2 linked regions of the Lepisosteus oculatus genome follow. The protein of the gene in region 2 purifies or fractionates together with the protein of the main gene of each other region. This does not show direct contact. Links are inferred from orthologs where the notes say so. Each region holds a gene or a part of one and is shown on either strand. Other genes may lie near its edges.

What was found. Proteins that work in one complex are often made in the same cells at the same time.
Region 1: the proteins of vamp3 (region 2) and alpha-soluble NSF attachment protein purify together in Homo sapiens (affinity purification with mass spectrometry; 3 studies listed by BioGRID and IntAct, with this or other methods). This does not show direct contact. The link is inferred for Lepisosteus oculatus from reciprocal best matches to the Homo sapiens genes VAMP3 and NAPA.

What each region holds. Positions count from the first base shown.
Region 1 is NC_090698.1:6,290,993-6,298,994, reverse strand, and holds the start of alpha-soluble NSF attachment protein, read left to right. Parts: upstream 1-4,903; 5' UTR 4,904-4,921; coding exon 4,922-5,109; intron 5,110-7,325; coding exon 7,326-7,405; intron 7,406-8,002. Other genes in the region: zbed4l2 (E3 SUMO-protein ligase ZBED1), read right to left, coding at 1-1,539. UniProt on the Homo sapiens protein: Required for vesicular transport between the endoplasmic reticulum and the Golgi apparatus. Together with GNA12 promotes CDH5 localization to plasma membrane.
Region 2 is NC_090720.1:9,620,581-9,627,928, reverse strand, and holds the start of vamp3 (vesicle-associated membrane protein 3), read right to left. Parts: upstream 3,095-7,348; 5' UTR 2,972-3,094; coding exon 2,970-2,971; intron 1-2,969. UniProt on the Homo sapiens protein: SNARE involved in vesicular transport from the late endosomes to the trans-Golgi network.

The DNA.
Region 1 (8,002 bases), on a different chromosome or scaffold from region 2:
GAGCGCGGAGACCGCCGCGTTGGCGTCCTCGCTCAGGAAGGCGGCCGCGATGCGCACCGTCCTCAGCACCGGCGCGAGCTCCTGCAGGAGGCGCCACTGGTGGTCCGCCAGGTTGGGCGGCGCCTTCTGCTCCTCCAGCACGGAGCTGACCACCCACTTGAGCTCCAGCAGGCTCTCGCACATCTCCAGCGCCGTGGCCCAGCGGCCCGGCTCGTCCAGCACCAGCCGCGCCCCGGCCTTGGGGTTGAGGGCGGCGGCGGCGCGCGCGTCGTGCTGGAAGTGGGACACGATGGCCCGGGCGGCCGCCAGCGCCTGGCGCACGGGCTCGGCGGAGAGGCCCTCCTGCACGCACAGCTTCAGGGCCTCCCCGGCGCAGCACAGCGCCGCCCAGCCCGCGGGCAGGGCCTCCCGGTCCTGGCGCCCCTCCTGCTCCTCGGGCGCCCAGCAGCGGTCGTGCACGACGGAGGAGACGGCGCTCTCCGGCAGGCGGAACTCGGAGAGCACGGACCGCAGCGCCGCCCCCAGCTGGGCCTCCGGCGCGCCCTCCGCGAGCTCGGGCACCGGCCGGGTCTCCAGCACGCAGCGGGCCAGGCGCCAGTCCCGGTCCACGAAGTGCGCGCTGACGGTCAGGTAGAGGCGGCCGCCGCCCCCGCCCGCGCCCAGCGACCTCCAGCGCTCGGCGCACAGCGTCAGGCCGCGGGGGGGCAGGCTGGCGCTCAGGTGCTGCTCCAGGTGCTGCTTGAGGGCGTGGTAGCGGTGCCACAGCAGGCTGCCCAGCTGCGAGGGCGAGGGCGCCGGGTACTGCGGCTCCAGGCAGCCCAGCAGCAGCCGGAAGCCGCGCTCCTCCACCAGGGACAGCGGCTGCAGGTCCCGGAACACCATCTCCAGGATCAGGTCCGTCAGCAGCCCCGCCCGCTTGCTGCTGCAGCCCCGCGCGCCCCCCCCGCCACCGCCGGCCTCCGGGTAGAAGAGCCCGGACAGCAGCGAGTGGCTGGGGGGCTCCGGCTCCGGGGCGCCGGCCGGGATCCCCCCGCCCGCCCCGGCCCCCCCACCGCCGGCGGCGGAGCCCCCCAGCCGCGCCCTCTTGCTCTCCCCCCCCTCAGGCGAGACCTCCGCCTCCTGCGTTTCCTCCTTGACCACCACCAGCGCCGCCGCCCCCCCCCCAGCCCCGCCCGGGCCGGGCAGGAAGGGGGCGGGCGGGGGCGGGGCCAGGAGGGCGGGGAGGGAGTGGTTGCCGGCGGCGGCGGCGGCGGGGGGGGCGGGGGCGGGGGCGGGGCCGTTGTCGCGGATGCTGTGCTTGCGGACCAGGTGCTCCCTCATGGTGGTGGTGCTGTTGTGGAAGGACAGCTGCTTCTTGCAGACGTTGCACTCCACGTGGCTCTCGCTCAGCTGCGTGTAGTAGTTCCACACCTTGGACTTGCGGCGGTCCACCGAGGCGCAGTACAGCGGCCGCCCCAGAGGCCCCCCCGCGCCCCTCTCTCCGCGCCGCTTCAGGGGCGGCCCCAGGCCCGAGGGCAGGGAATAGCCCGGAAACTCCATGGGGAGCAGGGGGAGAGGGCTCCTGGAGGCTGAGGAGACACAAGACGGTCGGCTGGCGACGTGGGGATTCTTGAAGTTCGAGATTCTCGCTGTTCGATAAAGAACAGGCTGGGCAGCTTGTCTTATCTGATGAACGTGATCACGTTACACCTGTTCGCTTCCCCCCTGCCACATCAGCAGGGCCACAATGCACTGCAAGTGTGGGGTAACCCCCACCCTCACCTGGAAGGGCCCCCCGTTATCACACAATTCCCTCCTGTGCTGCTCCCATAACACTTTCCACACCCCTGCCTGGCTCAGGATTTGACACTGGCTTTACTCTTCTTGCACCGTGATTTCACTGTGCTCGAGAGTTCTCTTACCATGATTTCAGTGCTTCATTACACTTCACTGTGCTTTTACCATGACTTCCCTGCTTCATAACACTTTACTTGTACCACGGTTTTACCATACACCACTACTACTACTCTTTACAGTGCTTCTACATGATTTCACTGTATTTGACACCTCACCCTGCTTTTACCACTATTTACTCCCAAAACACTCTTCCGGAAGAAATATCAATCGGAGCCTATCGTGAATACTGCTGTACACTCTCCAGCAGCAGGTAAACCAACACGCTGTGACCCACCTGGAAAATATCTTTGACACTGAAAGTCATTGACTGGAGCCAGACGAGCCGAGTAACTCGTCACACCCGGGAGCTGGACCCACCGCCCTCCGGAGTCCAGAGCCCCAAGCCCCTGTTCTGTACTGCTGCCCTCTAGCGGTGGTACAGCGCACTGCAGCGCCTCTCGCACCCGTGTCAGCTGGAGCGCCAGCAAGCAGCTGACAACGAAGGAGACCAACAAGCCTGCCCATGAAGAGCGCTACAAAATAGGCGACACGCAGTGACTACAAAGGCTGAAAAACGAGGCCACGGATATGCCCAGGACACAGAGCAACCAGGAACGGGCTTGACGGAGTGATGAATCCGGGTCGTGTAGCCGCAGTGGGACAGACTGGCCAGCGGGCAGTGGGTGCCAACGTCACCGCACTGACGCGGGCTGAGATTTCGCGGATTCGTGGCCCGTGTTTGTTGTTGTTGTTGTTGTTGTTGTTTGTGTGTGTGTGTGTGTAAACGCTCAGGTCGAGTCCTGCGTTTCCCGGGCTGTGTAAGTCGCGACTTAAGCCGTCGCTACCCCCCCTCTGCAATGACACATGACTCGAGTAACAGTTTACTTAGACCAGCGGTCAGGTAACGTCGACACCCGGCGCGCCGCCGGCCTGCGCCGGACTGGACAGCCCGCAACACTCACCCGGTCGCTAGGGGATCCTGCCGCCGGCTCGGGGCACCACGGTTACCGGGGAATGAAACGGAAGGCGGGCGCAGAAGCTCGTTCGGAAGTCACACATAGCCGAACCCCAGCCCGCGGCCCACCTTCCGACGGGAAATGATTCTTTCATATCCAGGGTCATGCTGCAAAGTGCCGCACCGCCCGGAAAACGGAGGGCGAAAGGGGACGCACGGTTTAGGGACCGTCCCCCATGCGCAGCGGGAAGCGTATGCGGATTTCACACTTTGAAAATCAAAAAACCGGGGGACGAAATTCTCGTCCTCTCGCCGGAAGGCTGGAGCAGCCCCGCGGTGCCGAAACGCACGATTGCGCGTCCGAGCTGCGCACAGCGGCGAGAGACCAGACCGGTTGTTAAACCGGTATCTGCGGGTACCAGACACCAGCCTCCACCCGACGGTGGACCTCGCTGCAGTGCTCAAAGGCATTCCTGTCGAAATTTCCCTTAAAGCGTTGTTTGGCTGTAACTACTGTAATTCCTTTGTCTAAATTTGGCCAGTTTGAACTGTCTGATTTTTCTCATTCTGTCGAGCTGTGGAACTTCGCTTCAAGGTTTGTTGAATACGTTACTAAATAAAAACTGAACGGGTTAACGGGCGTCCTTGTCTTTTATTAAGGGCATTTGACGGGATTTTGAATTGTAATTTAAAAAAAATCATTGAAAAAACATTTTTTAAAGCTTCCCTAGTGCCTGCTGGTTGTTCGTTTCTAAAAAACACGAGATCGAAGATTCACTGGGATCGGACTGGTTACCATAGTAACGGCTTCCGGCCGCACGGAAGCGCTGTCCGGTATAGGAATCCTGAGCTCGAGGCTGGAGGGCTGGTCCTGTTACCCACCTGAAGGTGTTCGAGACGGGGGATGGAAACTGACTCTCTGTGCTGTCCTCTTAGGGACCTGTTGCGGTAACATTCCCAGGAACACACATTTGACACACACACATACACAATGTAGGAAACAACACGTCAAGCCATGCAATCGGTCTCCCATACACCTGTTTGCAGACACCTGTCAACACTGCAGAATTAGTCCACTAATTTTGGACTATTAGTGTGTACATGCACTTTTCTGTTGTACAGAAGTAGTTCAGGTGGGGAGGTGGCGTCAGCATGCCTAGGCTCAAAAGGAACAAGTAATAGGTTTATTCCAAGCTGAAGAGAGAAGAGGGAAAATGTTTCACCCGAAGAAGGCTCCACAGCCGAAATGTCGTCTTTCTTCTCTTTCCAGCCTGGAATAAACCTATGGCTTGCTCCCTTTGTATCATACTTCTACAATACTCTTGCTTTCACTCTACTGAGATGATGGCATATCGTGGAGATTGTCGAAAGCTTGCCAGTGGCACGGTCACCACTACACAGCAGCCAGCAGCCAGTAGCCATATCACCCTGCAACTCACAACTGGCAACCCACTGGAGCCCAGCAGGTGTGAGCCTGGTCAGTACCTGGAGGGGAGAGACTCCTGGGAAACACTAAGGTTGCTGCTGGAAGAGGCGTTAGTGGGACCAGTAGGGGGCGCTCACTCTGCGGTCCAGGTGGGTCTTAATGCCCCAGTATAGTGACGGGGACACTATACTGTAAACAGGTGCCGTCCTTTGGATGAGACGTAAAACCGAGGTCCTGACTCTCTGTGGTCATTAAAAATCCCAGGGCACTTCTTGAAAAGAGTAGGGGTGTAACCCCGGCGTCCTGGCCAAATTTACCATCGGCCTTTATCAATCATGGCCTCCTAACAATCCCCCTCTTCATTTCTCTGCTCTCCTCCCCACGGATACCTGGTGTGTGGTGAGCGTTCTGGCGCACTATGGCTGCCGTCGCATCATCCAGGTGGATGCTGCAGATTGGTGGTGGTGGAGGGGAGTCCCCATTACCTGTAAAGCGCTTTGAGTGGAGTGTCCAGAAAAGCGCTATATAAGTGTAAGCAATTATTATTATTACACGTCGACAGCGCTGCAGTGTTGTGCTTCACGGTCTCTGGCAGGCGGGCCCGGCGCGTGCCTTTGCTGCGCCCCTCCCACGTGACACGGGCGCCGGCCCGCGGCTTCAGCGAGATGTGTCAGGCGTCAGGCGCAGACCGGAGCGAAGCCCACAGGCGCCGCAGTGTAACCGAAGCAAAGCGCACTGTCAGCGCGGACGCAATCATGGACAATTCCGGGAAAGAAAAGGAAGCACTGGCCCTCATGGCAGAGGCCGAAAGAAAAATCAAATCGTCGCAGTCTTTCTTCGGGACGTTGTTTGGGTGAGTGGCAGGTGGCGGCGGAGCGGGGTCGCGATCGGTTTGGCTGCCGGGGAAGGAGAGCTCGTAGACGGTCTAAGCTCGTTAGGAAAATCCGAGGGCGTGCGGCTGACGGTACAGAAGCAGAGGCCTGGCCGTAAAAGGCTGTCATGTATGCTTGGGAACGCTCCTGGTCATGTGGCATAACGATATCGACCTCCATGCGAAATAAAAGGACACCATCGATAAATACATTTTTAACTTTTTTTTTTTAGAAAAGTTGTACAGCACCGTTGAGCTACGGGCTGAAAAGTTGCTTGATCATCGATTTGCCAGCCTGTTCCTTCCTGGGTCGATTGTTCTGCCGAGTTCGGGGAGGGACGCAGGTCTGGGAGCTGCGGTTACGAGCTCCGCGGTCACATGTGTCGTCGAGTCAGCTGATCACACGACACCAGACTGTAAACAAAGTACTCTGACACCGGGTCCGCATGGTCTGACCCAGTGAGGAGCACTGGTCTGTCTTCCACCGCAACACAGAACATTCAGAGTGTCCTCTACCTGAACTGTCGTGTAGGGACCAGTTGTAAAAGGGCTGTCCCACTGTACTGGGACTGTAGCCCCTATTGTAACAGGACTGTTCTACTGTACTGGGACTGTAGCTCCTACTGTAACAGGACTGTTCTACTGTACTGGGACTGTAGCCCCTATTGTAACAGGACTGTTCTACAGTACTGGGACTGTAGCTCCTACTGTAACAGGACTGTTCTACTGTACTGGGACTGTAGCTCCTATTGTAAGAGGACTATTTCACTGTACTGGGACTGTAGCTCCTATTGTAACAGGACTGTTCTACTGAACAATCCTGTTGTTGTACTGATAATGAATAATTACAGTAGACGATAGAGAATCTTATCGAGGCATCTAAGCTGAGATGCTGTGTTGTAGCAGAAATGGAGCCCAGCAGGACAGTGAGTGTGTGTTAGGGGGCAGCTCTGTGTGTGAATTTCGTACTGTGACAATAAGATAGATAGATACTTTATTGATCCCGTGAGGGAAATTGCAGAAGAGGAGGGAAACATGCAGGTGTGTGCAGGCAGGCAGGCAGGCAACACCCCCTCTTGTGCTTCTGGAGAATCAGCATCTGGGTGAAGTTTATTCAGAGGTAGAGGTGCGTATCTTAAAGGGAAACTGCAGTCCCAGTTTCTCAGACCGGTTATTACAACTTGGTAACAAAATGATTCATTGACCATATAGGAAAAAAAAAGACAAATCTGAATTAAGCACAAGTACTGTAAGTCACCATGTTGTCGCGAACTCAAACATCCGAGTTGCGACGCGATGCGACCCTTCCTGCTCACTAGTCTCCATACTGACTAGTGAACCGATAGGAACCGATTGTGCAGCAGACATTTCACCACAGAAATGATCTGTATGCAAGAGTAAACAAGTAAGTGGTATTTGTCTGTAAAACGTTTCAAAACCTGAAGCAACATTTCTGCTGGATTAAAAGAGATTTATTTACAAAGGAACAGGTTAAGGTTTATTCCGTGTTGAAAGGAGAAAAAAAAAGAGACCACTGTAGAAATGTGTGCCTTCCTTCAGGTGTGTTTCTGCAATGTGAAAAACACAGTGGATTAAAAGCCGGCTTGTTTTGTGATGTAATAGGGCCACAACACGTCACCGGTAGTTTTGTTGCCTCTTTCTCAATCACAGAACACACCTGGGAATTTCAGCAACTATGTGATGTAACTTGGAGGCTTGACAAGTTACTGTGCACGTTTGACTGTTATTGTGGTTTGAAATGCACCCATCAATGCTGTTTTTTTCCTAACCCCGAAATCTAAAATCGTATATTTCAGTTCCCCTTTAGCTTGGGAACTAAGCCACCTCTCGCTCTCCCCAGCAGGGAAGAACGTCTTTCCTCAGTCTCCGCCCACAGAGTGGCTCTGCTTGTGTTTCCACCTGTCCGTTGATCCACTGGACGGGAACAAATTCAGATAATTTCCTTCAGTAAAATATAATTCACTAACTGCAGCAGCATTTGGAAAGATGTTACCTGGGTACTTTAGATCCCTGTTGGCTCAGTTTTGTTTGTCAGAACTATGCAGTGTTAATGCGTTAGGGAATCAGACTGATGACGGGAAGGAACTTGCTCTAAAACATTTGTTTTTACATCTACGTAAAGTAGTAGGCTCTGACCTTGCCTGTGTCCCTCCCTCTGTTCCTGGCTGGGTGTCCAGGGGCTCATCGAAGGTTGAGGAGGCATGCGAGATGTACGCACGCGCTGCCAACATGTTCAAGATGGCCAAGAACTGGAGTGGTAAGAGACAGAGACAGTGAGAAGGAAGGAGGGGTCATAGCGGAGTGTGTGTGTGCAGTGAGGTGTGATGCGGTGCTGTAGCAGTGTGTGTGTGTGCAGTGAGGTGTGATGCGGTGCTGTAGCAGTGTGTGTGTGTGCAGTGAGGTGTGATACAGTGCTGTAGCAGTGTGTGTGCAGTGAGGTGTGATGTGGTGCTGTAGCACTGTGTGTGTGTGCAGTGAGGTGTGATGCGGTGCTGTAGCAGTGTGTGTGTGCAGTGAGGTGTGATACAGTGCTGTAGCACTGTGTGTGTGTGCAGTGAGGTGTGATGCGGTGCTGTAGCAGCGTGTGTGTGCAGTGAGGTGTGATGCGGTGCTGTAGCAGTGTGTGTGTGCAGTGAGGTGTGATACAGTGCTGTAGCACTGTGTGTGTGTGCAGTGAGGTGTGATGCGGTGCTGTAGCACTGTGTGTGTGTGCAGTGAGGTGTGATGCGGTGCTGTAGCAGTGTGTGTGTGCAGTGAGGTGTGATGCGGTGCTGTACCAGTGTGTGTGTGCAGTGAGGTGTGATGCGGTGCTGTACCAGTGTGTGTGTGCAGTGAGGTGTGATGCGGTGCTGTA
Region 2 (7,348 bases):
CATATTCTGAGCGTGTCATCCAGTCCAGGGTGGCGGGAGAGTCGGAGACTATCCCAGTAAACAACAGGCACTAGGCCGCGGGGCAGGATACAGGGAATTGTATCCCTGCGACCCAGAATTAGAAGAATCAGTCACAGAAAGGATGGACAGATTAAGGGACTAATGAGGATCCACACAACAGAGGTTAAGCTGAATTTAAACTTTGCATTTTTCCATTTTTATTTACTATTTGCAGCCTGTTCAAAAGAAGCAGGTAGACACCACCTATCGATGTTATTCAGGGTGTACGACACTTGGACTGACAGCCACAAACGCGATGAACCAGAGCTGCCGCTGACTAAACGTTGACATAAACCAGGCACCAGTGCCTTTTTCCAAAATAGGGGATCTGTAAACTAAGCCAGAAAAGTCCCCTCCAAGCTACACATGAGCCACAATGCAATAGTCTGCGTTTCCTCTGCAGTCAGACTAACAAACACCTAAGGGGATTAATATTCTTCTGGCTGTGTGGCTCTTTTTCTCAACAGCCCAGTATCAGACCGCTATTTTATACTACAAGAGATAACCGTCGTGTTCAGATTGTCGGCAACCAAAGTATAAAGTATTTTAAATGATGCATGAATAGACGAGGTATTTCTGGTGTTCTTTAATCTTCTAAATTCACTTTCCAGCGCGATTCTGCAGAGACCCAAGACATCCTCAGGATCCACGCGGCATGTAGGAATTTGGGGCTTCCTGTGTCTCAAGGAATGGACGTCTCCTGTCTGCCTGCCCGGGAACAGCCCCAAGTACAGCACAGCCTGAGCTGTTGCGACATCTTGCAATTCAGAGCCACGCGCTGATCCCCAGCAGGAGCACAAAGGCACTGCGCCACACAGCTGGCCATCTCCCCCTGGCTGAAGGAGAAACCTCCTCTCTGGCCCGCCTGAGGCGATCACATGCCTGAGGCGGATCTCTGCCCCTTCATCCCCACCAGTGGAGCGAGGCGGCCGGTCCACCAGAGCAGGAGGCGAAGGGGCCGGGGACCGGCTGGCACCACCGCCAGCCTCACTGGGCTCCTGCCACAAGCACGGCCGTTGTGGCAGTTGGACAGGGCGAAGGGGGAAAGACGGAGAGGTGGCTCTGTGGCTCAGGATCCGCGCCTGTGGCTGGAAGGTTGCCGGTTCGTATCCCGCGGCCGGCAGGGGAATCCTACTCCGTTGGGCCCCTGAGCAAGGCCCTTCACCCCAGCTGCTCCAGGGGCGCCGTATAAATGGCCGACCCTGTGCTCTGACCCCCAGCTTCTCTCCCTGTCTGTGTGTCTCATGGAGAGCAAGCTGGGGTATGCGAAAAGACAAATTCCTAATACAAGAAGTTGTATAGGGCTAATAAAGTGATCTTATCTTAAAGAGGCGCGTCTGCAGTACGCAAGAATGGAAAGGCTAGGTCGGGCTAGGAACGACCTCAAAGCAGCCCTGGCGCGACGTCATCTCGTCCTCGCCTCGTCCGAATGGCCACCACCGCCTCTTGCCTCAGAGACCCCATCAGCCCGTTACCTGTAGCCCCTTCAACCACCCGAGAGCTGCGGGGATCGGGACACAGACCCAGCGTAAAGGGCGGGTCTCGAGCAGGCACAGGGAAACCTTAGGGACGCGAATCCCCCTGGCCAGCAAGCCCCCATGAGCTGGGAGGAAAATGAAATGGGAAAAAGACACATGGGAACGAGGAAGGCTTGCAAACTTCATACAGGACGTTCTTCCACCTATAACATCTGTCTTCTCATTTATTTTACCAAGAAGATTTGAGGCGATCCCCCTCGTTAGCATTCGCCCACACAGCTTCAGCAGACTGTCCAGATGTATAAATGGATGCAAAATATAGGGCGATTTCAATAAAAGCAGCAGAAAAATCGATGAATTAGTAACGAGGATATGCTTTTCTTAGGCTTTTTGTTCAGAACAGAATTCCCCAGTCCTTTGCATTGCATTTTTCTTCCTAAATATAATAAATGTCGTACCTTGTACATATGAATTACGAAGTTGAACATAATCAAACAACGACCCAAACTGCGATTTTCCTGGGAGTGTTAACAGCACTGTGGGCATCGCGATTAATAGGTGCTACCTCCGAGATAAGCGTCCTATGCTTTAAGCGAGCTTTTAAAAATAAAACTTGCCTGTTGCATGTAAGGTTTGGACAGCCGTTTGAATCCCGGCCACTTAAAATATACTCTCAAGAGTGATTTCAGAGCAAGTTATGCAAGATAGTGCGCCTGGACACACCCGAGGTGACCACAGCGAGGTCAATTATTAAAGTAATTTCCCGCACAACGACACGTCTCTTATAAAGCATATTAAAACATGACACCAAAACGCAAAAGTAAAAACCAAACTGCGGAAAATTTCGGTTAATTTTAAATAAGAGAAGCCCCCCCCCCCTTTCCTAAAGCAAGAAAATAAACCACCTCAACTGCGTTACTTCTTCAATAACGAAAAACCGAAAATGCAAAGTGGCGAATGATCCAGTACCGGCTTTCTTTTAACGTAACTCTTGATCATGTAAAAAAAATAATGAAGCGTTTACTCAAAAAAGAGTAACAGCGCCGGGTCCATTAAAAACCGTTTACTTCCCATAGTAAAAAAAAAAAACCTCAACAAAGTAACACATATGCAGCAAACACACAGACAATGGTGTCCTGGATCCTGGCTTTACCGTTTCAGACCTCGACGGATTTGTTATAAAGTTTAAAAACAAAAACAGAACAACGGGCCTACAAGTCAAAACTTAAGACGAAGCCTCGTTCTTGCCCGGCAACTTGACTCGGGACAAACGCCCTTTGCCCGCATCCCCGACACCTCACACGGGCGCCCTTCACACGTCGAAACGGGAAAACCGCCGCTCGGTTTCGGTGTCGAAATGTTGTTTTCGCGGCCCACCCTCTGGGCCGGGGCCCGAACGGCACCGGGTTTGACCGGGAGAAACATACTTACATGATTACCGCAACGGGACCAGCAACCAAGTGTAAATCGGGCTGAGGTGGTGTCAGCTAGTGCGACCAACTTTCACAGCAGGATTTAAAGACACAGCGCACTTCCCAGCTCACTCCCGGTCGCTGTTCGACCGTTTTCTCGCACTTTTACAAATCTCTAACCCTCTACCTTGCCTGAGGCCATGTATTTTAAGTGTTTTAAGTGTTTAAGTTCGGTGCATTTCTGTTCTTGCCTTTGCTCCAGACTGCACACATCTGACTGGAGTTAAATAATTCTGGATTAAATTAACTAAATAATTAACTTGATCGCAATAAACAAAAACGTCTCATGAAAGGGACTGTCCATCAGATGCGTTCACTTTTTGTCGTAGCCTTTTTATTTATTTATTTTTGGTTTCAAGCGGTTGTTGTTTTTTTAGCATTGCAAGATTGACCTACAAGTCGATTTACTTTAGAAAGTCTCCAGAGTGTACTCTAGTGAGACACCAGTTTGCAAGCAGCTGTTTCTTTTATACCCAGCGCCCCTTCGGATGCCCACCCGTGACGAGCACGCGTGTGACCGGCTTTGCGTGGCCTCGAGCATCCCGAGAACAAGACTATAAATAAAGAGAGGAGACTCCTGTTGGAAAATGACAGGTCGTTCTCCAACACATACTCAAGAACAGAGACACAGTTAAGAACTATACAGATCATCCTGGCAGAACAGAGTGATGTTCATTGCTTGTAGGACCCGAACGGGTTTAGCAATGGAAATCTCAAGGAACACTCCTCTGGTAAATATTTCAGCATTGATCTTAACAACAACAACAACAACAACAACAACAACAACAACAACAACAACAATAATAATAATAATAATAATAATAATAATTGCTTACGCTTACATAGAGCTTTTCTTGATACTTCACTCAAAGTGCTTAACAGGTAATGGGGACTCCCCTCCACCACCACCAGTGTGCAGCCCCACCTGTGCCCTGGAAATCATGTTGCTCTTAGGATTCAGAACACTAATACTTTTCTGGAAAATGACACAGCAACGCTTATGGCCTATAGAGCTGTGAACCAGCAGTTTTAGAGAGGCAGAGAGCTGTAGCACATTCATCGTGCTCCTCAACTGTCTCAAGCCAACATGCTCCAACTCCACGTGGACACCTACAGCTGTGTCGAATTAGACACTGAGAATGGTCTCTGAGCGAATATTACCAAGATCACAGAACCCCTGGGAGCCTGTCAGCACGAGTCTCCTGGACCGAAGGAAACAATCGTGGCTATAATGAAGAGTGTTCCGCTCAGACAGCATTTACGGTTTCCAATTAGTGTCTCTCTACGACAAGCACTTATTTTTTTCTGGTATTAAGTGACAATTGCACTGTCAACATTGCATTAACAGCAATTTATTCATCTTTAATTAGCACTGTATCAGTATTGATAGCAAATTCACTTGAGTTTATTGATTATCATGGAAAAGACCCAACGATACTCATACTGCCAACCATAAGCCCAGCCTAAAGTCTTCAGCGTTTATTTTCAGGGTATACACAGATTTCCATCATGAAAGTTCAAATGTAACAGAAAAAACAAAACAAAGCAACATCATACTATGAGAATTTTCTTCATTTTTTTATTATTTTACAGCAGAAAGAATATAAAGCATTCAGAAAACATCTTCCATATTTTAAGGGCAATTCAAAACGTTTTGCATGGCTTCAGCAGCTGAATTCTTTTTTAAATTTTTTTAAACATTTCCATCGATTCAGTGACGCTTTTACATGCACAATTACAAAAATAAAACTTACAAAAGAGAGAGAGAGACAGACACGGAGAGAGAAGGGGAGAGAAGGGGGCAGGGAGCAGGAACAGAGAGAAGGAGTCCAACAGAGGGGAAATTAGACAGACAGAGAGGAGAGAAAGATCTAACACTAGTTTCACATGCAAAGTGTTGGGGGCCCACTGCCTTGTTAAAAAAAGCAGGGCCATTTTTTGTTGTTTTTTTTTTAAATTTTTTTTTGGAAATGATGAAAAACGTGCAACTAGGCCAGGGGTTTCATGATATCGCTGTCCATAAATCACTGAACACCTGTCTCGCAATACTGGCAACTGCAGAAGTGGAAGTTAACTAGGTGTACTTGATATTCTTCTAGAGACCTGGAGATCTCACTCCCAACAAAAAAAAGATTTATTGCTTTGTGTCTGTAAGGAGAAAGCCCTGTACTGTAAGAATCTGCTCTGATATTTCCCCAGTGATCCAACCTGCTTTGTGTTCGAGTGCAGTGCGGGAGGTGTGTGTGGGTCTGTGGTGTCCAGTTACTACAGCTGGAGTTGACACTCAAAATTCGATGCCTATCACCTTTCTCCAAGATCGGACTCGGATACTAGCATGTGAAATTTCCCCATCTTTAAAATGTGAACGGACAGTATTCTAGGATTCCCTTTAATTCCAGGATTTTCTTGAAATCGGATGCTTTGGAGCCGAGATGAATTTCACTCAACTCAATTAAAATAGTTAATGAGCCGCTTTTACAAATTCCAGCGAAAGGGGCTGCCAAACACAAGCCGGATCTTTGTGATCGACATCACTGGTGAAGGAGGAGTTTCTTTGCTGCTTCCTAATGTTTCTCACGTTAAAAACGCTACATGTGTCTTTTAGTATCCATGGGAGATGGGATCATGGGACCAACTACCAAAGTAAATCTAACAGCCAATTTTGTAGTAATACTTTGCCAAAACACTCTAAAAATGCAAAACACCTCCATATGATGAAATCTGCTGTGCTAAACAACTGACCTGTTTGCACTGTCTTGCACTGGAGATGTGAAGCAGAACTCCAGCTAACAATTTTTTTAAAATCCATGATCAGACAGGCGGTAAAATGATATCAGATCCTTCACAAATTCTTCATTCTGAATATCCCTATGAACATCCCCTTTTCCTCACGAATCAATCTTTCAGGGCTCCTAAACGTAAATCATATAAATACAAATATTCATTTGTTCCCTTATCTATTGAAGCAGTTAATACACATAAATGGCAAGGGTCAATGCCATTGTGTCAGTATATGTTTATGCTGTAACAAACTATGCAAGCGTAATATATCATGGTTATGTTTTGTAATTAGTTATGCATGCGCGATTGATGTGATGTGTCATTTTGTGCGATATATTCAGATGCACAGAAGCAATGTGTGTCCATAAAACTTTTCCCCTAGGGAACAATAAAGTGTATTTTATCTTTCTGTATATGACAGTGTAAGAGACAATGATTCATAGAGAAGGTTAAGACTTCTTGCACTGCTTGTTAACTCCTGAGTATGGAGGGGTAAGACATTTGACTTTGTGTGTAGGACGAACTGTGTGCTCATATGTTTGCACACTGTAGGCCAATGTCCCGTGTCTGCATGGAAGAGACACACGCATGTGGCGGCTTTAAACACACCTCACCATGCTGATCTGGCAGTAATTCCATAGATATCACTGCCAGTCTATGTTTCACTGTCTGCATGCTGGCATTCCAGCCAAGGCTGGGTGCATCAGGTACTTCTGATATATCTACAGTAGGGTCGCCTGGCGTGAATGCACAACGGACCTAGACAACACGCAACCTTCGCACATTCTGCTCCAAAACAAGCTACACAAAAACAGAATAACCCTAAATCCTAATGTTCATCATGAATCAAGAAACTGCACTTCTGGAGTGTTTTAGCACAGCATTATTCATAATTAAAATCAATAATAAGTCAAATTCTATTGGCACACTGGCAGTATTTTTCAACTAATTAAATCAGACGATGGATTATTAGCCAACACATCCCAGAATCTAGCTGTCAAAGCAATCCGTAACGCCCACTAATGGAATTGGGGCACATCTAATTAAACCCACTGACCTCTTGGACTATTTCAGACTTTTGGTTTAAGGTTTTACATCAGCAATAACTTTCATTGTGAAAGAAATGAATTAGATTCCTCAGTAGTATTTTTCCATGTCAGGGGCTGCAGGTTGCAGGAGAAGCACAGCTACTTCATGAAGCAGGTGGGATAAGATGTCTGTCACCCTCCCTGCTCCCCAGAAGTAAGGGAAGTAGCCCTATTTTATAGCATCATCCAAGGTTTTTGCCCACATGGCTGAGCACTGCAGCCAACTTCACATTCATAGCAAAACAGGACTATTAACACTGTCTTGATTAAACAAGAATTGATAATGCTGTCTAATTTGCATCTCTTCTGGAATACTACAGTAATGTGCAGAGATTACCCTGCTGCCCTTGGTCTTGCCTCAGACTATTGTCTAGAGGGTCTGCAGCCCCCCCAGTGGAAAGGAAAACCCCTTATGAATTAAATGCCCCTAAGTGTGAAATATAGATTCTTTTTTCCTTAACTTGGCTAC